Linked DNA regions of Canis lupus familiaris. The protein of the gene in region 5 purifies or fractionates together with the protein of the main gene of each other region. This does not show direct contact. Links are inferred from orthologs where the notes say so. Each region holds a gene or a part of one and is shown on either strand. Other genes may lie near its edges.

Region 1 (3,500 bases), on a different chromosome or scaffold from region 5:
GGATCTGATACCATCATGGGACCTAGATTCCTGCATGTCAACCATCTCCAGTTTACCACTGACCCCACCCCAAGCATTCTTTTTCCTGTTTGGCTTCTTAAGCACGTGAGTTTGTGGCTTCTGCTCTAAAGCCAGAGGGCTGTTTTTTCCAGAATAGCCCTCCATAGTCAACACCCCCGGCTGTGCAAACTAAGAGTCTTATCTTTCGTGGAAGGACCAACACCATGCCCCTCAGCAACTGATGATAAATACTAATCATCTCTAAAAAACGCTATGCCAACTTTGCCCCAAACACACTCCCCCTTTCCTTTTTCTCTCCATTTCCCTAATTATTGCTCTTCCTCCCTCTCCACTCATCATGAGCCTTCTCTACTCTTAACTCACAAAGAGGTTCTTCCTTCTCTCATGTTCTGTGGCATTTAGCATCCGTGTTGCCAGTTATCTTCTATGTATACATCCCAGTTACACTTGAAGGCTCTCATTCATTCATCAAATACAAAGCAGCTACTCTAGCCCAAACATTGTTCTAGGCACTGAGGATATGGTGGTGAACCAGAAAGATAAGGTCCCTCTTATCATGGACCTTACTTTCCAAAGAGGTTTATATGGGCAAAGACATACAAATAAGCAAAACATTTCAGGTACTGATAAATGCTGTCTCAGGGGGTGGGGTGTGTGTGTGTGTGTGTGTGTGTGTGTGTGTGTGTCAGGGTGGGGTGGGAGTGAAGCAGGGTAATGGGATAGGGAGTGAATGAATGAAGCAGAGGCTACTTTAGACAGAGTGGTCAGTGAAAGCTGTCTGACAAAGTATACTAAGCCAAGACTGGAATGAAAAGAGGGAGCCAGCCATGAGAAAACCATGGGAAAAAGTACCCCAGTCAAAGAGAATAGCAAGTCCAAAGCCCCAGTTTTAGGAAGAGAAAGAAATAGCTAGTGTGGCTAAAGCATCAGAAGTGAGGAAGACCGTAGTAGAAGACGAGGCCAAGAATAAAGAAGGGGCTCAGATTCTGTTCTCTGTGATAACGTACAAGAGGGTGATCAATATTTCACACCTTCTAATGTTTTAAGGGCTGGCCCTCAATGAAGATTTGAGTATTGTTACCATTTACTTGTTTGAAAATACCCAGTTACTTCTGATCCCAATCATCTCCTCGTTACTGGATAACTTTCCACTCCTTCAACAAACACTTCTTCACACTATTGACTGGCACAGGGACTGCTCACCCCTTTAATGAAGGTAGGTTTGTCCTTCATGCCAAAGTTCCAGAGCATGATATCTCCCCCTTTGGAACCCACAGCCAGGGTGCTGGGGTGAGTTGGATGCCATGCCAAGGATGTGGCCCTCCTGTCAAAAGGGGCAGCCTTTTGGAATATCCGGTAAGAAGCCAGAGAATGCAAAAAGGACTGCTGGAGACCCTGACATGGAGAAAAAAAGAATTAAGTTGAATTAAAACCCAAGTCCTGGGTACACTGCCAATCTCTGCCTCCTCCACAGATGAGCTCTAGGGCCAAGTCCTCCCACCAGAGGAAAACTAACTGCCTGGCTCTGCGCATGAAAATATTTGCAACGTGCACAAACTAATCTTGGAAAGCAAGGGGGCAGAGTGCATTCCAGATGAGACCTTTACAGCATAAGACTTCTACCTGGCTGAATGCCCAGTAGGTCAGTCACCAAGGTAGAGGTGATCTGACCACTCTGACAACCCACTGAACCAACCCAGCCTCTAATTTTAGAACATCCCAGTAGTGTTCCAGGCAAACCCTTGAGCACTTCAGCCTGGAAACGCCTCACCTGCTGCAGTGACGGCCAGGCAGCTTTGCCCAGCTTATGGTGGTGGAGCGCCCTGACGATGCTGCTGCATGATGGCGGGACCTGCAGGCTAGCCAACCCCGCCCAAAGGCAGCCTGAGTCAAATCTTCTGCTAGAACCTGCCAAGCAGAACAGACACATATTTTCCTCTCCATTCTCACGCACGGAAGAGTTTCCTGCTGAAATCTCAGAAAGAAAGCCTTGTTTTTTCATTCGGCACAGCCAATCTCTCCCATCACCTAAGGCCTTTCTGTGGTCTGCTCAGTCTCATCCGGCACAAGAAATAAATAAGGAGTAGGGATTCAGCCCCTTGCCCCAAACACTCCCCAAAATAGTAATTCTGAAGCGAAACTAAATAAAAAACGATATGAAACCAAACCCTTGCAGGGTTGCTGCGCATTGAGCTAAAGAAACACACAAGAATAAAGTTTATGAAGAACTCTTCCCAGTGGGTCGGAAAACTCATACTAGGGTTGAGTGACAATTTTAAAATCCCATATAAGGCACAATGAAAGGATTTTAGGATAGCACAGAAGCGACCGGGGGGGGGGGGGGGGGGGGGGGGGGGGGGGAAGAAGTAACATTAAATCCTATACTAAAATAATGTAGAGGTGACCCATTATTGGCCCCAAGTCCAATCAGTTTTGGAAACCAGCAGATCCAGAGGGTCTGGCATGGCTTGAAGTTAACTAAGCTACTGTTGGGGAGGTAAATTCACTTAGAATAGTAATAAAGATGTATTTGAGGACCTAGTCTCTAGGAATCTGGCCTCTTGACAACCAACTCCTTCTTCTTATGGACAAAACCCACTTCACCAACAACCCCCCGCTGGTCTTCGGTGTTGCCTCACACTCCTTTAGCCCCAGGTTCAAGCCCCAATAAACCTCAGAGAATGAGTTTCCTAAGGAAATTGCGGGTTCTTACAGCGGAAACCAAGGACACACAGCTAGCAACCATGACTATCGAAATTCAGCACACACACCACTAGGCAAAGTAGGATTATTTTAAGCAGTTCTCAGTGTATAGAAATCCTGGTACAAACAAGGAATTTGAAGGTCCGTTGTGTCTTATGTAATGGAGCTCATCTGCCTCTTCCCGGCACCTGAGGGGGGTTAAGCCCAAGCTCTATGATGTGAAAGGACCTGCAGAAAAATGTACAGCTCGAGGCATCCGAAGTTTGGGAGAGCCTCGGGAAACCAGCAGCACCCATCCCCCACTCCAGCCTCCTGCGTGAGAACCCCAAAAGGCGGAATTATTAAAGCAGCAGGCGCAGGCAGTACCGGGGCCCTTCACACAGAGCTTCTTGGCCTCGGGCTCCAGCTCCCGGGGGCTTCTGCTCCTCTTGCTCTTGGGGCGCACAGCCACCTCGGGGGTCTTCTGGGTTTCTGGGCGTTTCCTGGGAGCCATCGCGTCCTCCGTGCGAAAGGGTACTATGCCCTATGCCGAGACCGTGGAGGGAAGATTGTGAAGCCTCTGGGGAGAAACAAGGCGGGGACCGGGGAACTACGCCAACTTCCCGCCAAACAGCCTCACCGCTTTCAATCTGGCTTCTCGCTCCCGCCCCGCCCCTCCTGCGAAGACTGGGGCACGCGAGGGGAGGAGCTCAGGGGCTCCCTGGAGAGACGGGATGGCGCCGACGTGTTGGGCCAGCTAGTGCCAGTCAGCTGATCTGCCAGAAATAAAGATGGCC
Region 2 (4,135 bases), on a different chromosome or scaffold from region 5:
ACAAAGCAGAGGAAATCTTGATTACACTTTCGTGGGAAGCCCTAGCTTCCTACCCTCTACTTAAAAAAATTTTTTTAGTCTTCCATGTCAATTCAGGTCTTGACCCTGACCCTGTGTACCCCAGGAGGGTTTCCCAGGAATTTCTTTGAAGTCCTTCCAGAAACTGCCCTTCTCCCACCACTACTCCAGAGCTCTAACCCTCTGGTTACCTAAGTAATCAGCATATGTCCCATAGGCGAACACAGTGAGTAGCCGGAATGTGGAAGCGAAATCACTCTCAGCTAGCTGCAAAAATACAAAGGAAGAGGTGACAGGACAGGCGTCTCTCCAGTTCCCTAGCCTCATTCTGTTTTCAATTCCACTTTCTGGCCCCATCTCTCCCTTCTCCCATCAGCTCTCCCAGCCCCCAACCCCCCCCGGACTTCTCTGCCTCTCTGATGGCTCTCCCTATACGAAGGCCTCATTGCCACCTCCAGGCCCTTGTCTACACTACTCCCCCCAATCCACCATGCCCTCTTTCTCCGTACGTCTTCATTCTTACCCCAAATTCAGAACTGAGCACATTCAGAGTGTTTGGTAGTGAGCGCACATGCATGTACACACACACACACGCACTCAGACATTGTAAACTGCATTTTGGTCCTTAGAGCATGTTTAATATTTCTGAATCTGAGTAGGCAGTCTGCCGTACCTCCCAATTCACCAAACACTCCTGCGTTACCCTCATGCATCTCTGAGAGCTGCATGGCCTCTACGTCAGACCTGCAGCACCCAGGAGGCTTTCATCATCCAGGCCAGCCCACTCAGATCTCCTCTCCAATCACTGATCACTCATTCTGGCACTTAATCGATCAAACCCTTAGGCTGTTACCGAAGAATATCTTTCTTTCCAATATGATAACAGCTCCAGGCCCTGGTATCCCACCCAGTTAGGTCTGCAGAGCTATTCAGGTCTGCAGAGCTATTTGGCTCTCAGAAAATACTTGCTAAATGAGTAATTTACATGGCCATATCCATTCATCTTATCTCTGCAACTGGAATATAAGTTTTAGGAGGATAATAAGCACTGTGTCTTACACTTTTCTGGTATTCCCAGATGACCCGCAGAGATAAACAAGCACTCAACAAATGCTTGTTTTTTTCACCTTAACGGACCCTCTTTAGTTCCACTGTAGAAGAAAGCGTAGGGAAAGAAGGCAGCCAGAGTTTTCTCCATATACCAGTGACTCCTGAAGGCTAAATCCATTGACTCCATCAATTACTGGCTCTCAAAAAGCTAACACAGTTTGCCTGCATATCAATGCCATAGCACCTCAGGACTTGAGCTGATGTCACACATCTTGGTGATCCAGCACCCCCTAGACTTTAAACTCTTAACTCTATGTGAACAGTTCTCTCTGCTGTGTCCCTAGCATCTTGCCACATGTCTCGGGGAGAAAGCCACCTTCTAACACTTCTAGGCACTTATCTAACTTAAGTGAATGAACAAAGGGTACAAAGTGAGGAGAGGAGGGGCTGCCAATTTCATGTTCATTCCTCCCAATTGTACCAGATTCTACACTTCCCATAATCTGACCTGATTCCTATAATTGACACTGAGGGGCAGTATCAGTTTCAATTTTAAACGGAGGTCTTAAAGTAAAAGTGACCTGATCAAGGCAACATGATCTTACTAAGAGGTACTACATTGGAGGAGACAGGATGGAATTAGGTCTCCTTTTCTGAATCACTCTTTGGCTTAAAAATGAAAAACAGTGGGTTTTACAGATGATTCATCAGCAAAGGAAAGTGAGAGGTTTACTTGCCTACTTATTTTGCCAGCTGCTAATTAATCATCACCATATTCCTGTTCAACCGAATGGTTATGCGGTTGCAAATGAGCCCTGCCCACCCATTCTCAAATTCAGACTTAGTCCCAAGCTTCCATGTGTGCCTTCTAGGCCAGGAACCCACCTCTCTAACATTAGGCATATCCAGCAGTTCCCCAAACACGTAGACACCAGGAGCCTCCAGCACCTGGTGGATGAGTGTGGCCAGCGCTGCCCCCTTGGCCGACTTGGCCAAGAGCAGAAATTGCTCCTGGTTCTGCCCTGTCACCTTCACCTCGGCACTCATGGCTGCACTGAGCTGGGAGGGCCTGGGCTCAGGATATCTGGAGCTGCAAGGAGAGAGAATGTGAAGCTGGAAGTCCCTGAACCCTGGGAGGGCGGGAAGCACAGGGGCCAGGGGCTGGACTGCAGAGGCACTGAGTCACATCTACAAATGAAGAACGAGAGATGGGGCTGTCTAAAACTCGGTTCTAGAAATCCGAAAACCGGCCACTTTGACGGACGCCTGGCTGAGACAGAGTTGCCAGGCCCCCTCCCCCATCCCTGGGCCTGATCCCAAGGCCCACCACGTGCACCCCACTGAACCCCAAGGCATAGGATGCGGTGGGGGAAGGGGTGTCACATGGCGTCCACCCTAACAACAACGCTCCCTCAAATTTCCACGGTGCCGCACAAGTACCCCCAACCACGTGACCTCACCCTCACGATCCTTCCACGTGGCTCCGCCCCCTCCCTTAAAGAGGCCGCCCAGGGACCGCGGGCTCACGCCGACTGCCCCGTCGTACCCTGGGTCAGACTCTGCGGGCCGCTACCTGGAAGCTTCGTCTTCCAGCACACCGGGCGGGGCAGCCACTCCGTCACCTCCGGCAGCTGTTCCAAGCCTTTCCTGCCACCTCCCCGCAGAGTCGCTCTGGCCACTACACTCTATGGCGGGCTTCCGGCTCGTACTTCCGCTCTGGCGAGGCCAGGCCCCTCCCCCGCCTTCCGACGGCTGAAGCTCCGGCGAGCGCCAGTCATTCTACTCTCTGATTGGCTGTTGAGGAAGAAGGACGGCGTCTTTTTTTTTTCCTGCTTTGTTTCAATAAAACTTTATTGTCCGACGAGCGCTAGATGGTAAATGCGAAGGGAGCCCCTTGTCTGCAGCAGGTACCGGGTGGTTAAGTGTCTGTTCAAAGCTGCTTGAAACCTGGAGATCGGGCTGCACAGGGCGCTGGAGGCGGCAGGAAAGCTGTAATGAGAAAGAGCGGCCTGGAGAAGGAAAAAAGGGAGGGAGGGAAATGAGAGACAGGAAGAAGACAAGAATAGTAGAAGTTTCGCAGCAGGGATCCCCTGGCTATTTTATTTTTTTTTTTATTTTTATTTTTTTTAAAAATTTTTTATTTATTTATGATAGTCACACAGAGAGAAAGAGGGAGGCAGAGACACAGGCAGAGGGAGAAGCAAGCTCCATGCACCGGGAGCCCGACGTGGGATTCGATCCTGGGTCTCCAGGATCGCGCCCTGGGCCAAAGGCAGGCGCTAAACCGCTGCGCCACCCAGGGATCCCCCTCCCTGGCTATTTTAACCACTCCTTTTTTTTTGAGGAGCAAGAGGAAAGTAGTGGGAAAAGTACAGGAAGTAATAATAGGTAACACTGACATTGTAGTAACATTGCTTACTATTGGTGAGGCATCTTTTAAAATTGCATCCCGTTGAATCCTCGTAACTATACTGCATCCCCAGTGTGACTCCGGGAGTACTTGTAGAGTGAGGCTTTCGTGCGCATCGAGTCTTTTCATTCCTGCGAGACGAAAAACCCCTAGGTGTAAGGAAGGTATCTGTTATTACTTTAACTTTATAGATAAGGAAATTGATGCTCATAAAAATTTAGAGATTTCGGGATGCCTGGGTGGCTCAGTGGTTGAGCGTCTGCCTTTGGCTCAGGGCGTGATCCTAGAGTCCCGGAATTGAGTCCCACATCCGGCTCCCTGCATGGAGCCTGCTTCTCCCTCTGCCTGTGTCTCTGCCTCTATCTCTGTGTCTCTATGAATAAATAAAATCTTAAAAAAAAAGTTAGAGATTTCAAATTGAACACCTATAAAAAAAAATAAAGTTAGAGATTTGCCTGGAACTCATGTCTCTTCAAGCTGGAAACTATCTTTCCACGTTACCATGATACTTTAGGAAAAATAATAAATAACTAACAGTTCTGTAGTATTTTACATCATACGGGCTTGCAGAAGGTCAAATAAGAATAAAGTTAATGACGTTTTGGAGGACTTTGTGTTAGATGCTGAATGAAGAGGTTTAGTTAATTCATTTGATGC
Region 3 (3,500 bases), on a different chromosome or scaffold from region 5:
TGAACTTGTAAGATAATAGTGCTGAAAAGGAGGCAAGAGGCCCATGTACCCCTAATGCTGACAATTAAAAAAACAGGAAAAAAGTTTTAATAGAGTGCTAACTAGTTTTTCTAGTGTTGCAGAATGAACTTAATAATAAATAAATGATATTTTGACCCTTTACTTGTGTTGTCTCCTAATGCTCCTTGGGTTCTGATGGTGATAAAAGACTGTTGTTGGGTGTGGCAGGGGGCTCATTCTGGGCCCTGACAGCATCAGTGATGGGTAGCCTGGTGGTCCTACTTCATCATCTAGGTGCTTGATGCATTATTCCATACTTGTTTCTGACATATGATTAAACAGTCATTGCACAAATGCTAACAATTTATGTGATATTTGACTTTTCACCACATTTCCCAAACTTAAATGTTGAAATGAAAGTCCTTAAAATATTCTTTGTGCTAATGTTGGTAGGATACTCCTAATATTAACTTTTTACTTAAACTATTTTGTGTGAATTGATTATTCTAATTCATTATTATTAACCACCTTTCATGAAAATTCAGAGACAAGGAATTTTTTTTAGGTGTTTCCAAATAATTATCTGAATAACGGTTGTTTCTGAAATAGGTTGAGGCATAATGAAAGTTTGAATAGCCATCTGTGTCATAGTAAGTTGGAGAATTGACTATCTTTTTAAAATGTTTAATTATATATATATATATAAATAAAGGAACCACAAAATCTTGATCAGAGTTACTAATTACTACTAACAGGGAGAATGTAGCCTCTGGGGTAGGTTCATGAAGGTTCATACAGCTCCCTTAAGTTAAAATGTAGAGCTCTAAAACTAGATCTGTAGCGGTTTAGTTTATAATCCATTGACAGTTGAATAATGCAGGGGGTGTGTATATGAGAAAGACAAATACAGTCACTAAACTACAGCTTTATGCTTTAGGAAACAGTTTGTTGACTTGCATTAGCTTTTTATTTTATGTGTTACAGAGTGCATACATGTACATGTTTGTCATACTGTTTGTTACAAACTTTTTAGTGTGCTGTCCCTCTGGAATGTCCCAGAACCGTAGTGTGCCTAAACCTGCTGTATCCTTTATAGCTTTCAGGTTGGCATAGAATCTAGAGCTTTTTTGTTCTATCAACTATTTCCACAAAATAATGGATCTTTCTTTTTGTCTCTCCTCCCATTTGTATGACCCTAGAAAGTTACTGGGAAGAATGATGTTTATGAGATAAAGTAGCATTGTTAAATTTTAGCAGAAGCTGTGGGTTAGATGGAGCCACTGGAGAAGCATCTCCTTTACACCTGTGGACCTCCCTGAGTGCTTGAACCAAGATAGAGGCAGCACATAAAGCCATTACTGGTCACCTGCTGTCATTCTCTCCTTTTGTCCATTTCTCCTGCCCTCACCTCCTGTTTCTGCTTTTTTCTTGTCCAGGTCTTAGCTTTCCTATTAACACTTAAAGACATTGTTACACACTGGTAGAGGTCTGATAGTTTAATTGTGATTTATACTGCATACTCAAAACTAATAGCCCTCCCTCCGATCCCCCGAAACAAATAAACTGATTACACTGCTAGTAACAATTTAGTAAGTCCTTGGCTCATTCTTTCAGGAGAAAGTAGCTGAAATAAATAATTATTACTCAAACAACTTTGAAATATTTCTTTGAATGATCAGTTTATTGTCACAATTTTGTTTTAATTGTAGGTGAAGTTAAAATGAACTATTTGGGCAAACCATATGTAGCCATGGTTACTACATACCAAATGGCAGTTCTTCTTGCCTTTAACAACAGTGAAACTGTCAGCTATAAAGAACTTCAAGACAGCACTCAAATGAATGAAAAGGAACTGACAAAAACAATCAAATCATTACTTGATGTGAAAATGATTAACCATGATTCAGAAAAGGTATGGGGTAATATTTCAAGGAATTCTTTTTTTTAAAGATTGATTTATTTATTCATGAGAGACAGAGAGGCAGAGACATAGACAGAGAGAGAAGCAGGCTCCTCACAGGGAGCCTGATGCGGGACCCAATCCCGGATCCTGGGATAATACCCTGAGCTGAAGGCAAACGCTCCATCCCTATTTCGAGGAATTTAAGCATTATAAACATTATAGCTTGAGACGTTTGCAGTTTTTAAAGTAAGATTATAATCAGTAATACCCTTTGTACTTTGGAAAGCACTGGAGTCAGCTAGCAATACTGCTGGCTACTTAGAGCTGTGAGCTTGTGGAATCACAGAGAAGTTGGTGCCTCTGTGCCCTTTATAATTGGCTGGATTCTGGTTAATTGAGGCTAAAAACAATAGCATATCCTAAATCTTCCTGATTTTTTTCACATGTGTTTAATTGATATTTAATTATTTAATTACATGGTTCTAATAGAAAATGACTATTGATATTATTTATATGTATATTTAGCTTGTGTGACAATTCTGAATGCTCTCACTCTTCTGTCCCTTCAGTCCAGGACTCAACTAATAACCACCATATATTTGTAGTACAAATATATTGTCACAAGAATAGCAAGCCAGGAATATACTACTTTTCTTAATAGCTTTTTTTCCCTAGTAACACGTTTTTGTTACTGTTATAGTATATATATATATATATCCTGGATATTTAAATGATTCAAAAGCAACAGATGTGAGTTAAATCTCCTAATTCGAATTGTGCCTGTAAGAAAAAATTCTTATAAATCAGACATCATTTTTATTTTGGTGAAGTTAATAGCCTACTATTTCTGTCATCAGTTCACTTAATTAATGATATATATTTTTAAAGATTTATTTATTTGGGGGGTGGCAGGAGAGGCAGAGGGAGAAGAGAATCCTAAGCAGATTCCCTGCTGAATGTGGAGCCCAACACAGGTCTCAATCTCATAACCCTGAGATCATGACCTGAGCTGAAACCAAGAGTCAGACGCTTAACCAACTATACCCTCCAAGCGCCCCTGCTGGATGATATTTTGTAGCCTATAATTAAATAGTTTTAAATGGCATATATTTTGAAATTCAAATCAAGCTTTTCTTAATACTGAGAAATTAATTTTTGATTTCAGAATCTTAACAAAATATTAAATTCTTAATATTAAGATTTTAATTGAGTCAATCATTAAGCATGAATTTTTAAGCTTATAACCTAAAAAGTTTAAGTTTATAAGCTAAATTAAGTACTTAAGACATTATGTATTTTCTAAAATGTATTATTTTTGCTGCCCGGGAATGTACAAAATATAGATGATTGCTTGTTTGCACATAAATTTTAACTATGAATCTGCTGTTCCTTAGCAGAACTTCTTAGCTTATTATTGAGAATGAATTCATTTGCTAAGTGCTTTTTGATCTTGCTAATGGAGAAAACACCATGTGTGATCAGAGTGGCTTTCATAAGCTTGATAGTTGTGATTATAAAAATTGACTTAACAACTTTCACTTGAAAAGAGGCCACGTGCTTCTGGCAGACAGTAAAACATGAATTCGAGGGTAAACTT
Region 4 (3,500 bases), on a different chromosome or scaffold from region 5:
CCGCGGGGAGCGCTCGGCCTTGGCGCCGCGTCCTACAGCGCGGTCCTGCCCTGCGGTCCTGCACCGGGCCTCGGCCTCCCCGGCGCGTTGCTGTGGTCGAGGGCGCGGGGCTTCCCTGGCCCCCAGGCACACAGACCGGCCCGGCCGCCGCCCCTCGGGGCTCCCTCTCCCCGCCTCGTTCAGGTGGCTCGTCATTGCTCTGCTCTTATTTCAAGTTTTTAAATCCGGGTGAAATATTCGTGACATGAGATTCACCGCCGTAACCGTCTCTGAGCGCACAGCCCGGGGCACGGAGCGCACTCACCCCACCGCGCAGAACCTTCCATCTCCCCACATGGAGCCCCCGCCCCTGGCTCCCGCCACCTCCTGTCTCTGTGGACGGGCCTCCTCTGGGGGCCTTCTGGGAGTGGGGTCCTGCGGGAGGCGTCCTTCTGGTCTGGGTCCCCTCCCTGAGCCCGGTGTCCTCGGGGTCCGTCCACGTGGGGCAGGTTTCGGGGTCCCTTCCTCCCCGGGGCTGGGTCACATCCCGGGTGTGGACGGACCGCTCTGCTCCCATGGATGGACACCCGGTGCTGCCTCTTTTGGCCACGGGGACACCAGCTCCGAACACAGACGTGCCCTGGGTGTGAAACCTCTGAGTCACGCGGGGCTGGTGTGTGGCCATCAGAGGAGCCGCGGCCACACCAGGGTCCTGCTGTCTCTGCATCTGTGTCACCTTGTCATGGTCTCTGGGTGTCTTCTGGGCCGCCGTTGGCAGGCTGAGCTGGCGTCTCCCCGGGGCACCTGCATCTGGGAGGAGGGACCGTGACCCTGGGGGCTGAGGCAGGGGTGAGCAGAGGGCCGGGGGGCGGGGGGGGTAGTGGTATGGGGCCGACCTGCGGCCCGTGCGGTGGCCTGTCCAGGGCCCTGGGACAGCGTCAGGCGGGGGGTGCACCCCCCCAGGTGCGGGCAGCGGCCTCTCCTGCAGGCGATCAAGGTGCTTGCTTAAATCTGGAAAGAAAAAAAAATAAAATAAAAAAAAAAATAAATCTGGAAAGAAAGGAACAGGAAGGCACCTATTTAGGATGGATGGTGGGATGGATGGCCTGTGGGAGGGCAGAGGGGCTGGGCCGCCCCAGTGAGTGCCGGGTGGGGGGGGTAGGAGGGAGGAGGAGGCCAGGGTGGAGAGCAAGGAGGCCCCGGGTCGCAGGTGACACTGCCTCCCGGGCTCCGGGGGGGCCCTTGCTGGCCTCACTCCTGGGATCTGCGTGTCCCCGGGCGGTGGGCTCATCCCCTGGTGTCTGCGCCTGTGTCCCGAGGCCCCTCTTACGAGGACGCGGGCATGGGGTCGGCCCCCGTAGGACGGGAACCAGTCACACGGACAGAGACTGTTTCCAGGTGAGGCCCTCCTGCGGCTTTCCGGTGGACGTGACTTTGGGGGAGGCCGTTCGCCCCGGTGTCCTCGGTTCCCATCGGGCCGTCTCGGGTCTGGTCTCGGGTCTGGTCCTTGGCCCGGTCAAGCCCTGCGCGCCCTGCGGCCCCCTCGGGGCTGGGAGATGCGCCCGGGGGGAGGAGATGGTGGGGGCTGGGGCAGGGCGGAGGCCTCCAGCCGGGGTCGCGGGAACCTCGGGCAGGCTGCTCCGAGCCCTGCGTGTGTCGGGGTGGGGACCCCGGGCGGGTGTGATGCGGGGCCCGTGGACCTGGGTCCGGCCCTCGTGGGCGTCCGAGGTGGGGGGGCAGCGCCAGCCTGGGCTGGGTCAGGAGGCCCCCGACCCCCCAGCCCCAGGCAGGGGTCCAGCGGGGTGCCTCACGGCTTGTCCTCACCCACGGGGCACCCGTCCTCGAGTGGAGAGGACATGGCCGGTGGGGCCCACGTGGTCACCTCGCGGCCACCACCTCGTAACGCTGCCCTGGGCTCCTGCCCTTCCCTGGGCCCCCGCCCGCCCGGGGCCCTGCCAAGCCTTCCCTGACCCCCCCCAGGCCGTGCCCTTGACCGGGTCTGCCCCCTGGGCGAAGGCGGGATGGGCGCTGCGGGGGCACGGGGGGGGGGGGGGGCGTGGGGTGGGGATTGCACGTGTCCGCCCGCCCCTTGCCACCTTCCTTCTGGAAGCATCTGCCAGCAGTGCTCGCGGCCGGTGTGTGCTCTGTGCTGGGCCCGGTGCCCCAGACTCGGGGCCGGGAACCGGCGGGCGCGCGGAGGGTCACCAGGCTCCTCTCTGACGCCAGGTTCGTGCTGGCCGTGGGCAGTGCCGTGTTCGACGCCATGTTCAACGGGGGAATGGCCACCACGTCCACGGAGATCGAGCTGCCCGACGTGGAGCCGGCCGCCTTCCTGGCGCTGCTCAAGTAAGACTTTCTAGATCTTTCACCGTGGGGTGGGGCGGGGCAGCCTGTCGCTGTCAGAAAGTAGCCGGAGGTAAGGAGACCCCCAGGGACAGGCCCGAGCCCCGGCCCCGCGGGATCTCCAGAGCCGCCTGTGCAGCGGTGGGGGGGTGCCCTGGAGGCCCCGCCCCACCGTCACGTGTGTGTATCTCGACGTGTGCTGCACACGCGTACGGTTCGCCCTTTGGCGGTGTGCTCCGCGCTGGTCTGCACTGCGTCCCCAGGGTTGGCGTCTCTCTGCGCCTGCTACCGCCACCTCCCGTCACCCCCCAGCCCCCGGCCCCCCGGCGCCCCTCCCCATCCTGGACGGGTCACACCCGTGGACTCACACCCCGTGGGGCCTCCTGTGTCTGGTCCCTCCAAGAGCGTTGGGAGCGCAGGCGAGTCCCCGTTCTCACCCTGTCGTCAGCAGGGGCTTTGGAAGAAGTGAGGTCACCTCCACCTCCAGGTTTTCCTTCTTGAGCCTCAGCAGCATTCCCTCCCGGGGTTAGTGGAAGAGCAGCGGGCGGGGGCCTGGCTGTCCCCAGGGGCTGTCCCCACTCCGCGGGGCGCGGGCTCCAGCTTCCAGAAATGCCGAGTGTAAAGGGCGTGGGGACTGACAGTCTGCCCCACGCAGGTAAAACATCTTTTGAAACGCAGAGTTTTTTTCTCTCATGATTATAAAGATGACGTAGGCTCGCAGAGGGAGAGGAAGGAAGGAAGGAAGGAAAAAATAAAGGAGAGAGGGGAGCTGGCCCCATCCGCCGTGCCCACGCGGGAGGCCTGCCTGTGCGTCTGGGGCGGCCGCCCTCTGCCCTGTGCCCTCCTCCCTCCCGCCGTCACGGCTTACTGATGGGCAGCATTGTATTCTGGTTGGTTCCATCTGTGGATGCCCCTTAATCCTTGACGCTGTCTGGTGTGGTCAGTCCTGTGTGCCACTCCCATCTCCCTGATGACAGCAGTTTGGGGAACAGTCTCATGAGTTTGTCGTCCCGTAGCTCCTCAGGTTGCCTACACCTGGGGCACGTGACTCCGTCTCCACCACTCACCCTGCCACTGCCATCGTGAAAGCAGCCACGAGGATTTGTAAACGGTGGGGGAGGCCATGTGCCAATAAAACTTTATTTACAAAACAGGTGACAAAACCATGATGAGCTATC
Region 5 (4,056 bases):
GGAGACAGAGGTGGCTTTCCGCCAAGAGGACCCCGGGGTTCCCGAGGGAACCCATCCGGAGGAGGAAATGTCCAGCTCCGAGCTGGGGACTGGCAGTGCCCCAATTCGGGGTGTGGAAACCGGAACTTCACCTGGAGAACATAATGCAACCAGTGTAAGGCCCCGAAGCCCGAAGGCTTCCTTCCACCACCCTTCCCGCCCCCGGGCGGTGACCGTGGCAGAGGCGGCCCTGGTGGCCTGCGGGGAGGAAGAGGTGGCCTCATGGACCGCGGTGGTCCCGGTGGGATGTTCAGAGGTGGCCGCGGTGGAGACAGAGGGGGCTTCCGTGGTGGCCGGGGCATGGACCGAGGTGGCTTTGGCGGAGGAAGACGAGGCGGTCCTGGTGGGCCCCCTGAACCTTTGATGGAACAGATGGGAGGAAGAAGAGGCGGGCGTGGAGGACCTGGAAAAATGGATAAAGGCGAGCACCGTCAGGGGCGCAGGGACCCGCCCTACTAGACGCAGAGACCCCGCAGGGCTGCCATGACTACCAGATTTATTTTTTAAACCAGAAAATGTTTTAAATTTATAATTCCATATTTATAATGTTGGCCACAACATTATGATTATTCCTTGTCTGTACTTTAGTATTTTTCACCATTTGTGAAGAAACATTAAAACAAGTTAAATGGTAGTGTGCCGAGTTTTTTTTCCTTCTTTTAAAGATGGTTGTTTAAAGACTAAACAATGGGAACCCCTTGTGAGCATGCTCAGTATCATTGTGGAGAACCAAGAGGGCCTCTAACTGTAACAATGTTCATGGTTGTGATTTTTTTTTAAATAAAATTCCAAATGTTTATTAAAAAAAAGAAAGAAAGAAAGAAGAAAGAAAGAAAGAAAGAAAGAAAGCCACACAGCGCTTAAGTAGTAGGGAAGGGATTTGAATCCAGGCTACCTGCCTGGCTCCAGTCTTCCTGACAGGTAAAAGCCTCATGGAAGAGGCGGCAATTAAGCCAGGCTTGAAGGATCTGGCCAGGTGGAAAACAGGACTGCCATTCCAAGCAAAATCCGGGAAATATGCGCCTAATTACAAGTTTCGTTTCTTCCTTTGCCCGGAGCCCCATTAAATAGCAGGAGGAATTTCATAAGTGCACCGAATAAAGAGAGAAGGAAAAGAAATCGAACTTCCGGCGGCGCTAAGCAGTAGAACTGTTTCCATGGGAACAGTAACTGCTTCCCAGGTAGGTGAGATCTCGCGGTGCGTGAGCCGGCGGAAGTGACGTCGGGCCGCTGTTGAGGCCCTGTGGAGGATAGCCGCGGCCCCTCCTCCCAGAGCAGCCGCCTTTTCCCGCGTGAGCTGCCTCTGCTGCTTGGGCCGCCGCGGGGAAATATGGCGTCTGCCCTGGAGCAATTCGTGAACAGTGTCCGACAGCTCTCGGCTCAAGGTGAGGCCCTGGACCGCCGGGCCGGGCCTGGGCGGGCCTTCCGGGCCGCGGGGACGGGCTTGCAACCCCAGCCGCCAGCGCGGACGGCTGGGACCTCCCTGTTGGTCCCGAGCCTCGTCTTCGGGGCCGGGCTTGGGGTTGCGGCGCTTAGACCAGGGAGGGATCGGGCGCGGCTGAGTTGGGGCAGCCCCCTTGCGCTCTAGGTCTCCGTTGCTCTCGTCTGCCTGCCCGTGCGCTTGGCGACCTGGCCACCTCCCCTCGCTGGGGCCGGCTGGACCCTCCTCCCCCCGGCCCGGGCCCCTTCCACCCGGGCGCTCCGCTTGACAGTTTTGGGGGCAGTGACTTCCGGTGGACGCCTTCCCGAGCGCCCATTGGTCTCCTCGGCCTCCCTTGCCTGCGGTGATTGGTACACCGCCTCGTCTGTCACCCTGGCGCTTGGCCGCCGCTGGGCTAGGCCGCGGGCAGCAGGCGCGAGATGAATCCTTTCTGGGTGCCTTGGCTCGGAGGCTCGCCTTGGCCGGCCCCTCGGATGCCGGCCGGCGCGCCCTCGGGAAGCCTCCGCGCCTATTTTAGTCCCGCAGAGTGCAGAGGGAGCTCTCGCTCGAAGGGCTCCATTTCCAGGGGCGGAATGATGACCGTTGTTACTTAAATTTTCATGCTCTTTGATTCAATTAATCTCATCAACCTGCATATAGGATGCTGGACTCAGAATTCAAGTAATCAGCTGCAGGCTGCGAAGGTCCCTTTAACTACCCTGTCTCTTTATCTCTAAGGTAAAAATAAGCCCCTGCTTCAGAGGTGTTGGGCTTGAATGAGAGGAACTTTGTAAAAGCACTTGAAACACTACCTCATATTTGGAGTGCAGTAGATGCAGTTAAAAATTATTGCTAGCAGCTATTAATCTGTAAGGTTCTAGGAGCTGCGTGGACAAGTCACCTTTAATCTCTTGAGTCTCAATCTCCATTTGTAAAAATAGAGGAGTGCTATGTCCCTCACTGTTGTTATGAGTTAACTGATCGGATATGAAGCTATACTTAATGAAGTACTTCTCCTTACCCTTATTAAAGAAACGAGGTTCACAGGTAAGGCACAGACTTGCAGTCTCTATGAATGAAGAAAACATTCATTCATTTATGCCACAAACTGTTTGATTTCTACTTCCTAGGATGTAGTATGGGTATTTAATTTAGATTTGGGTTAGAATCTTGTCAATCACTACATGTGTGAGCCACTTAATTTTCCCTGGGCCAGTTTTCTCACAAAATGAAGCAGGGACTATTTAGCATCAAGTGAGATTTATCTGAAAGCTTTGCATGGATGCTGTGCAAGTCACTGCTTTAGGAACAGTCTGCCAGGCAGAGATAAAATTGATACTTTCGCTGCCTGTGGCTTCTGTGCCTCATGGTCACTGCCTAGTAAATGTTTTTGAGGCTTCTGTTTTTTCTGCTCTTACTCAGAATTTTCTCTTTTTTGAGATTTTATTTATTTATTCCTGAGAGACACAGAGAAGAGAGGGAGAGACATAGGCAGAGGGAGAAGCAGGTTCCCTGTATGGAGCCCGATGTGGGACTCGATCCTAGGACCCCGGGATCATGACCTGAGCAGAAGGCATACACTCAGTCACTGAGCCACCCAGATGCCCCCTCTTACTCAGAATTTTCTAATGTGGACCTTAAGTGAAGGGAGTTTCATAATGTCCAGCTTTCTTTGATTAGAGGAAATTTCTTAGGCCACATGTCTGATTGGGTTCGTGTCAGATGCGCCCTGTGGCACTGAACTTATTGTTAACTCTCCCCTTGACCTACATTAATTATAATTCTTATAATTTCATAGTGACCTAGCTTTTATTTTAAGTCTCAACTCTGCATTGATTACTTAATTGGGGAAAAATAATAGACTGAAATATTTATTTCTGTGTTTCATATCATTGTAAATGTATTTAGAGTAGCAAGTAAAAAGGAGGCAAATTGTGTAGAAGATTTCACATTTAGCAGTGAGATTTATAATAAAATGGTGGTATTTCCCCATTCAACTTGTGTTATCTCTGAAAGATGATGCCTAATCAGATCACAGATTTTTTTATTCTTATTTTGCAGTGCTGTTATGTGATGATAATATATTTCTTTATATTTGATAAAAATTTAATAGTATAGAAGGCCGAGAAACGAAATTACCAAAGTTCCTAGCTACAGTCACTTTTTTTTTTAAGATTTTATTAATTTTATTCATGAGACACAGAGAGAGAGAGAGAGAGAGAGAGAGAAGCAGAGACACAGGCAGAAGGAGAAACAGGCTCCATGCAGGGAGCCTGACGCAGGACTCGATCCCGGGACTCCAGGATCACGCCCTGGGCCAAAGGCAGGCGCTAAACCGCTGAGCCCAGAGATCCCCAGTCACTTGGTTTTTAAGTATTCTACTATTTAAGTGGTTTTTTTTTTTTTTTTTTTTTGGTAAGAAGAAAAATCCCTCAGCTACTAAATAAAAATAGCTGATATTTATAGTTTGAAGTTCAAAATGCAAAAGAGAACTCTAAAGGAGAAGACAAGTGGTTGTTGCCCATGGACTTATATAAACCCCATACACAGCACCACCATTACCCCCAGGAGAATGGCTGAGTAGCCTTGGCAAGTGT
Region 6 (3,500 bases), on a different chromosome or scaffold from region 5:
TTGGGTTCCCTGCTGAGCAGGGAGCCTGCTTCTCCCTTCTCACTCTGCCTGCTGCTCTCCTTGCTTGTACACATGCTCTCTCTGTGCAAATAAAATCTTTTAAAAAAATAAAACATTAAAAAAAGGAAGAGTACTTTTAATTTACATTTCAGTCAAAATTAAACAAGTACCTGAAATCCAGATGGTACAAAACAATTTTACTCCCTTTATCTTTTTATCCTTTTTTGAACTTGAAATTCTCAAAATAAACTCTCTGAGAATAATCCAAAGGGAGCATTTATAAAATTAGGGTGAAAAACAACAAAAGAGCTAGAAACAAATACTTTTGAATTTACTTCAGCAAAAATAGTAAAGTACTGTAAAAAATATAGAGAGTAAACAGTTATAACACTGTTTTTAGGCTAAAGAAATACAACTGAACAATAGCAGGTGGTAACTCTGAATTAGATAAAATGAAAAACACAAAAATGCAAGCTATGAGCTCTTGAAACAAAGGAAATTTAACAGAATCAATTTATCAGGAAAATATTTTTGAACCCCAAAAGTCTATAAAAATATTCAAGGTAAAGTAAATAGGGTTCATTAACAATCACAGCCAATATGCTATAAATATAAAATGTATCCAAATAATCACCATATACATACATACACACACACATATGAAAAAATTTATTTGGTGACAGTTTTTTTCCCTAAAGTAAAACTATTTATTTGTCTCTTACATACACTACACTATAGAGGCACTTGAAGTGCTGTGGTGTATTATTGAAGCAACACAGTAGTGAATGTGCACTGGACTTGAAAATTGGCCATCTCAGTTTGAGTCTGGGCACGTTATTTAACATCCCTGAGACTCGATTTCCTCATCAATAGAGGAATAATAACTACTACTCTACTTGACAAAGGGTTTCTATAATACTGAAAAGATATAAAAGATAAACCTGATTTGTAGAGGGCCACCTGCACTATATGAAAAAAAGCTACTGGACTACACAATTTCTTAAGGTCTTTCCAATTCTAATTCCATAATTCTACTTTTATTACTGTACAACTCAGAAGCCTCATATGTAACATACCAACATAGTCAAATAAGGTGGGCTTATCCTTAATAGCTTTGTACTACTTAACACAGTGTTATAATGATTATATTGTGTAACATTATTACTATGTGTTGGGCATGTTCTGAGTGTTTTCCATGCACTGACTCCTTGAGATTTTCACAGCAATAGAACCTGGTGATCGTAATTGACTTATTACAAGTAAAAAAAACCACACTGTGACTTATGCAAGAGCTTTACTACATCATCTTATATTTCTAGAATATAGCATTTCAAAGTGTTTTTGAGGTAGATAGGACAAGTATTCTTTCCCCTATTTTACAAAGGAAGAAACTGAAGTTGAAGGAGGTCTAGTTTCTTGCTCAAGATCACAAGGGTAATAGCCACCAAAACAAGATCCCAAATCTGTCTTCAGATTCCTTACAGTTTTTTTTTTAATTTTTATTTCTTTATAATAGTCACAGAGAGAGAGAGAGAGAGGCAGAGACACAGGCAGAGGGAGAAGCAGGCTCCATGCACCAGGAGCCCGATGTGGGATTTGATCCCGGGTCTCCAGGATCGCACCCTGGGCCAAAGGCAGGCGCCAAACCGCTGCGCCACCCAGGGATCCCTGTCTTCAGATTCCTAATACAGGGTTTAACCATTACCGTAATATCTCTGCAACTAAAATGAATAGATAAAAATTACAAATTCTGATAAATCAAACCACTTAATTTCTTACAAGGTACTTATCAATATGAAAAGAACAAGCAGGGCACCTCGGTGGCACAGTTGGTTAAATATCCTGAGTTTTTGGCTCAGGTCATGATCTTGGGGTTCTGAAATCTCAGGACCCAGAGTCAGGCTCCATGCTCAGCGCAGAGACCGCTTGAGATTCTCTCTCCCTCTGCTCCCCCCCACTGCTCATTAGCGCACGCACTTGCTCTCTAAAAAATACACAAGCTATTGGATTCTGAAGTATTTTTCTACATGAAACTGCTTACACTATAATGCAAAGTAACTTCTTGAAGTGGTTGCGTCAAAAATACGGTACGGTAGGGCAGGGGCCCCCGGATGGCTCAGTTGGTTAAGTGACTGCCTTCGGTTCAGGTCAAGATCTCAGGGTCCTGGGATTGAGCTCCCATGTCATGCTCCCACTCAGCGGAGAGTCTACTTCTCTCTCTCCCTGCGCCCCCTCAGCTTGTGCATGTGCACTCTAATAAATAAATAAAATCTTTTAAAAAATACAGTAGAGCAAAATCATGGTAGTAAGAAGTCTAAATCAGTAATTGCCCTTAATGGTATATTTAAACTGAATACTTCAAGTATAAACCCATTTATAAAGCAAAAGAAACAAACCTGAACCTCAGATCAAGTCACTGTACTATAATCTGCTGATTTTTTGGCTAAAGACAATCTTGTAGCCCAGAAAATAAAACAAACATGAAGAACAAGAAGAAGAAATGGCAAGGACGCCTGGGTGGCTCAGCAATTGAGTGTCTGCCTTTGGCTCAGGGCATGATCCCCAACCCAGGAGTCCCACATTGGGCTCCCTGAGAGGAGCCTGTTTCTCCCTCTGCCTCTCTCTGTGTATCTCTCATGAATAAACTATTTTTTTAAAGGAAAAAGAAATGGCAAAAGGCTACTAATATGAATGAGGGAGGATAAAGCATATAGAGAATATCTACATTTCTTGAGGCCTTTCCTATAGGTGAGTAACACCACTTAGGGATAAGTACCATAACAGAATGACTTGTCATCAGAAATCACACCTTTGGGATCCAGGCTGTATGATTCCATTATAGGTAAACCCTTGATAATACCAAGGTATTCCTCACTATAAATCCCAGTCAGAAGGGTCCAAGGTAAACCCAATATATACCAGTATGACTATACTCATAGTTTATGTCAGAATGTTAGAGTATGTCAGAATATGTGGTCTGATTATAAAGCAGAGTACATAAATCAAGACATTTTCATTAGAAGGAAACCAAAAGTCTACATAAGGAGTCATTTCAAAGTAAAATCCATATTTTACATACTACTTCAATTTATGCTTGCCAAATCTGGTTATCCACATTAATACATACCTGGTAGAGTTCTTCTAAATTGTACTTAATTGAAGTACTATTCTGGATAGCTTCCACTGCTTCTTTCAGCTTCTGCCATGTTTCATCTGTGTAGTTCTCTGGTAATTTAGGCTTATCTAGGTGATATGTACAAGGTTGATATCAGAATATGTAGGATATAGTAATGGAAGGCTCCACTAAAGTACAGTAATAGTATTATTGCTTTTCAAGGGTAAATTGTGATTTTTATAATCACAACATCTAATTATTAAAGTAATTACTGCTTTTTAGCCTTAGCATAAAGAATAAAATTTGAAATGCCAGAATACTGTTTAAGTCATTTTGACTCACCTATTAAAATTAAAGGTGAGAGGTTTTTTTTTCAATTGACTGT
Region 7 (3,054 bases), on a different chromosome or scaffold from region 5:
AGTGGCCCTCTGTTTCTGCTAGCAATATTCCCCAATCCCTTCCTTTAGAGAGAACGGGGCCTCTGCCACCGGGGAAGCTTCTCCCTTGGAGAACGGTCTCGAATGATGTCTCAGTGAGTATGGGGCTTGGTGGAGAGACTCTAAGAGCCAGATAGGTTTTATCCCTTAAACTTTGAAGAGGCAGGTGTTAGAGGATGCTCAGGGATATTAAAGTTAGGTTGAATGGGATCAAAGCTTGAGGGTAAACAAACTGGAAGAGTATAGAAATTAAGAGGATGATTGAATGAATGAAAGAAAAGGGATCGTACCCCAAGGCAAAAGGGAAGTCCACCCTTGTACTCACACTCACTGTTAGGATTCTGCTAACCAGGACGTTCCTCTTCCTCAGCTCCCTTTACCTTCACTTTGCCTCTGCTTTCCAGCTTCTTGCCCAATGATCTGGGCTTCACTGACACCTACTCTCAGAAGGCTTTCTGTGGCATCTACAGCAAAGATGGTCAGATCTTCATGTCTGCTTGCCAAGGTACCACCAGACCCTGGTCCTGCAAACTGCCCTGGAACAAGGAGCATACCCTCTGACTGAGGCTAGAAGGACCCAGGCCCAAGGAACTCCCTGGGTTAGGGATGCTTGGCCAGAACATGTTTCCCATGATCAAGGGAAGATTCCACAGATGTACAGAGGAAGAGAGGTCAGATCTAGAGAGGATGCCAGGAGGGGGTTCCCTAATTCTGCCTGATTCCTACTTCCCCAGACCAGACGATCCGACTGTATGACTGCCGGTATGGCCGCTTTCATAAATTCAAGAGCATCAAGGCCCGGGATGTAGGCTGGAGCGTCCTAGATGTGGCCTTCACCCCTGATGGGAATCACTTCCTATACTCAAGCTGGTCTGATTACAGTGAGTATGCCCCAGACTTCCACTGGCTCTCCAGCTCTGGACCTCTCCAAATGTCCATGTCCTCTGTGCCAGGACTCCATGCCTCCTCCCGGGAAAATCACTCCCAGGGTCTCACATCCTTGCCCTTTGCTCCGTCTCCTGCCTAACTTCACTTCCACCCAAGTTCCCCCAGCCCTGAAAGATTCTTGTTTCTCTTGCCTCTCTTAGTTCATATCTGCAACATCTACGGGGAGGGAGACACACACACTGCCCTGGATCTAAGGTACTGGCTTCCCTCCTTGGGCAAACTCTTCAGAAACTTCTCAAGGAAGGCTCTCCAGGAGCAAACCTCTTGAACTGGAACTCCTGCTTTGAGGGAAGAGTACACTGGTTGCAAGTGTCTCTGTGTGGATTCCTGGGAGGGAAGCACCTATCCTTGTCAGCCAGAGGACCAGGGTAAAATAGATGGTTGTAGGATTATTTAGGGTTCTCATGGAGGTAATTCACATTCTGGGACGTATTGGCAGGACTTTTTTTTCCCCTTAGAAGTACACCTTGCAACCCTCATTAGATTCTTTTTTTTTTTTTTTTAATTTTTTTTTTAATTTTTATTTATTTATGATAGTCACAGAGAGAGAGAGAGAGAGAGGCAGAGACACAGGCAGAGGGAGAAGCAGGCTCCATGCACCGGGAGCCTGATGTGGGATTCGATCCCGGGTCTCCAGGATCGCGCCCTGGGCCAAAGGCAGGCGCTAAACCACCGCGCCACCCAGGGATCCCCCCTCATTAGATTCTGTGTAGACTAACAGAGGCTGAAGGAGGCCCACTTCACCCAGCTCCTTCTCTGCTTCTTTTTAGGCCAGATGAGCGTCGCTTTGCTGTCTTTTCCATTGCTGTCTCCTCCGATGGACGGGAAGTGCTAGGAGGGTGAGTATCGGTAGGGGATGCAGCCCTTGATCAGGGAGAGGGGAGTACTCCCAGAGGCCAGCTCTGCTGTCTCAGAGACTACTGGACACAGCTATCCAGGCAGCTGTGGAGAGCAGCCAGCCTGTTTTTCTCCAAGGTCAGCGTTTCAGAGCTACTTCACCTCTTGCTCACCATTTCCCCAGCATGAAATGAAAGGTCTCAAACCTCCTTGCAAACATAGCTAACTTTTCTCCCACCTCCTGCGTATAGAGACTGGGGCTTTCCCTTCAGCAGGACTCTGCAAGAGAGACTCTCCAGAGCATACATAACAATGATTCTCTTGGTTCTGGCCCCAGGACCCTCTTCATCCCTTCCCTTTCAGGGCAAATGACGGCTGCCTATATGTCTTTGATCGAGAACAGAACCGGCGCACCCTTCAGGTATTGCTCTCGAGACTTAGAGCCTCTGCCTCCCAGTCCTTGGCCCTATTAGAAGACCTAGCAAGAGGCCCTAGGTATTCTGGCTTCCTTCATCCCCTAGATTGAGTCCCACGAGGATGATGTGAATGCAGTGGCCTTTGCTGACATAAGCTCTCAGATCCTGTTTTCTGGGGGTGACGATGCCATCTGCAAAGTGTGGGATCGACGCACCATGCGGGAGGACGACCCCAAACCTGTGGGCGCACTGGCTGGGCACCAGGATGGCATCACCTTCATTGACAGTAAGGTGGGCAGTGAAGCAGACCTGCACATCCAGGTTACAGTTGTCCGGGAGCATGTCACAGTGGCCTGGTGTAGGGACTCACCGAGCTCCTTATTAGTTAAGGTTTGCAAGAGCTGGAGTTTAGGGAAGGGCTTAAGCCAAGAAACACGAGATCCTTCTGTATTCACCAGCCCTGAGCAGGGCAGGGCTTTTTGTAGAAGGAAAGAAGACCATTAATCCAGGATAGAATGGGAGGCCCAGCCAGTGCCTGGGGCAAAGAAGGGAAAACCAAGCCAGGGGGTGGGTTCTGTGGTAGAAAACCAGCAGTGAGCTGGCCTGGATGAAGCAAGAGGCAAGCTAAGTCAAAGGACTGGCATTCTTACCCTTTACCTGGAGAAGAGCTAGACAGACACAACCACCAGTATTCGCAAGCTCTGATGCCTTGTTATCCATCTGGGGATTCCCAGGGTGATGCCCGCTATCTCATCTCCAACTCCAAAGACCAGACCATCAAGCTCTGGGATATCCGACGCTTTTCTAGTCGGGAAGGAATGGAGGCCTCACGGCA

Evidence for each region.
Region 1: the proteins of COPS3 (region 5) and DDB2 purify together in Homo sapiens (affinity purification with mass spectrometry; 7 studies listed by BioGRID and IntAct, with this or other methods). This does not show direct contact. The link is inferred for Canis lupus familiaris from reciprocal best matches to the Homo sapiens genes COPS3 and DDB2.
Region 2: the proteins of COPS3 (region 5) and COPS7A purify together in Homo sapiens (affinity purification with mass spectrometry; 14 studies listed by BioGRID and IntAct, counting the BioPlex papers as one, with this or other methods). This does not show direct contact. The link is inferred for Canis lupus familiaris from reciprocal best matches to the Homo sapiens genes COPS3 and COPS7A.
Region 3: the proteins of COPS3 (region 5) and CUL2 purify together in Homo sapiens (affinity purification with mass spectrometry; 5 studies listed by BioGRID and IntAct, counting the BioPlex papers as one, with this or other methods). This does not show direct contact. The link is inferred for Canis lupus familiaris from reciprocal best matches to the Homo sapiens genes COPS3 and CUL2.
Region 4: the proteins of COPS3 (region 5) and BTBD2 purify together in Homo sapiens (affinity purification with mass spectrometry; 3 studies listed by BioGRID and IntAct, counting the BioPlex papers as one, with this or other methods). This does not show direct contact. The link is inferred for Canis lupus familiaris from reciprocal best matches to the Homo sapiens genes COPS3 and BTBD2.
Region 6: the proteins of COPS3 (region 5) and CUL4B purify together in Homo sapiens (affinity purification with mass spectrometry; 11 studies listed by BioGRID and IntAct, counting the BioPlex papers as one, with this or other methods). This does not show direct contact. The link is inferred for Canis lupus familiaris from reciprocal best matches to the Homo sapiens genes COPS3 and CUL4B.
Region 7: the proteins of COPS3 (region 5) and DCAF11 purify together in Homo sapiens (affinity purification with mass spectrometry; 3 studies listed by BioGRID and IntAct, counting the BioPlex papers as one, with this or other methods). This does not show direct contact. The link is inferred for Canis lupus familiaris from reciprocal best matches to the Homo sapiens genes COPS3 and DCAF11.

Annotation. Positions count from the first base shown.
Region 1 is NC_049239.1:42,800,111-42,803,610, forward strand, and holds part of DDB2 (DNA damage-binding protein 2), read right to left. Parts: exon of another isoform or gene 3,218-3,500; coding exon of another isoform or gene 3,091-3,217; intron 1,930-3,090; coding exon 1,793-1,929; intron 1,417-1,792; coding exon 1,225-1,416; intron 1-1,224.
Region 2 is NC_049248.1:7,780,770-7,784,904, reverse strand, and holds the start of COPS7A (COP9 signalosome complex subunit 7a), read right to left. Parts: upstream 2,801-4,135; 5' UTR 2,642-2,800; exon of another isoform or gene 2,529-2,641; intron 2,159-2,528; 5' UTR 2,116-2,158; coding exon 1,954-2,115; intron 286-1,953; coding exon 210-285; intron 1-209.
Region 3 is NC_049223.1:2,207,314-2,210,813, forward strand, and holds part of CUL2 (cullin-2), read left to right. Parts: intron 1-1,709; coding exon 1,710-1,912; intron 1,913-3,500.
Region 4 is NC_049241.1:57,467,772-57,471,271, forward strand, and holds part of BTBD2 (BTB/POZ domain-containing protein 2), read left to right. Parts: exon of another isoform or gene 1-789; intron 790-875; exon of another isoform or gene 876-990; intron 991-2,075; exon of another isoform or gene 2,076-2,205; coding exon 2,206-2,325; exon of another isoform or gene 2,326-2,375; intron 2,376-2,690; exon of another isoform or gene 2,691-3,500.
Region 5 is NC_049226.1:42,356,945-42,361,000, forward strand, and holds the start of COPS3 (COP9 signalosome complex subunit 3), read left to right. Parts: upstream 1-1,256; 5' UTR 1,257-1,369; coding exon 1,370-1,424; intron 1,425-4,056. UniProt on the Homo sapiens protein: Component of the COP9 signalosome complex (CSN), a complex involved in various cellular and developmental processes.
Region 6 is NC_049260.1:93,253,525-93,257,024, forward strand, and holds part of CUL4B (cullin-4B), read right to left. Parts: intron 3,244-3,500; coding exon 3,128-3,243; intron 1-3,127.
Region 7 is NC_049229.1:4,243,837-4,246,890, forward strand, and holds part of DCAF11 (DDB1- and CUL4-associated factor 11), read left to right. Parts: intron 1-48; coding exon 49-113; intron 114-422; coding exon 423-523; intron 524-752; coding exon 753-899; intron 900-1,106; coding exon 1,107-1,161; intron 1,162-1,736; coding exon 1,737-1,805; intron 1,806-2,166; coding exon 2,167-2,224; intron 2,225-2,324; coding exon 2,325-2,510; intron 2,511-2,953; coding exon 2,954-3,054. UniProt on the Homo sapiens protein: May function as a substrate receptor for CUL4-DDB1 E3 ubiquitin-protein ligase complex.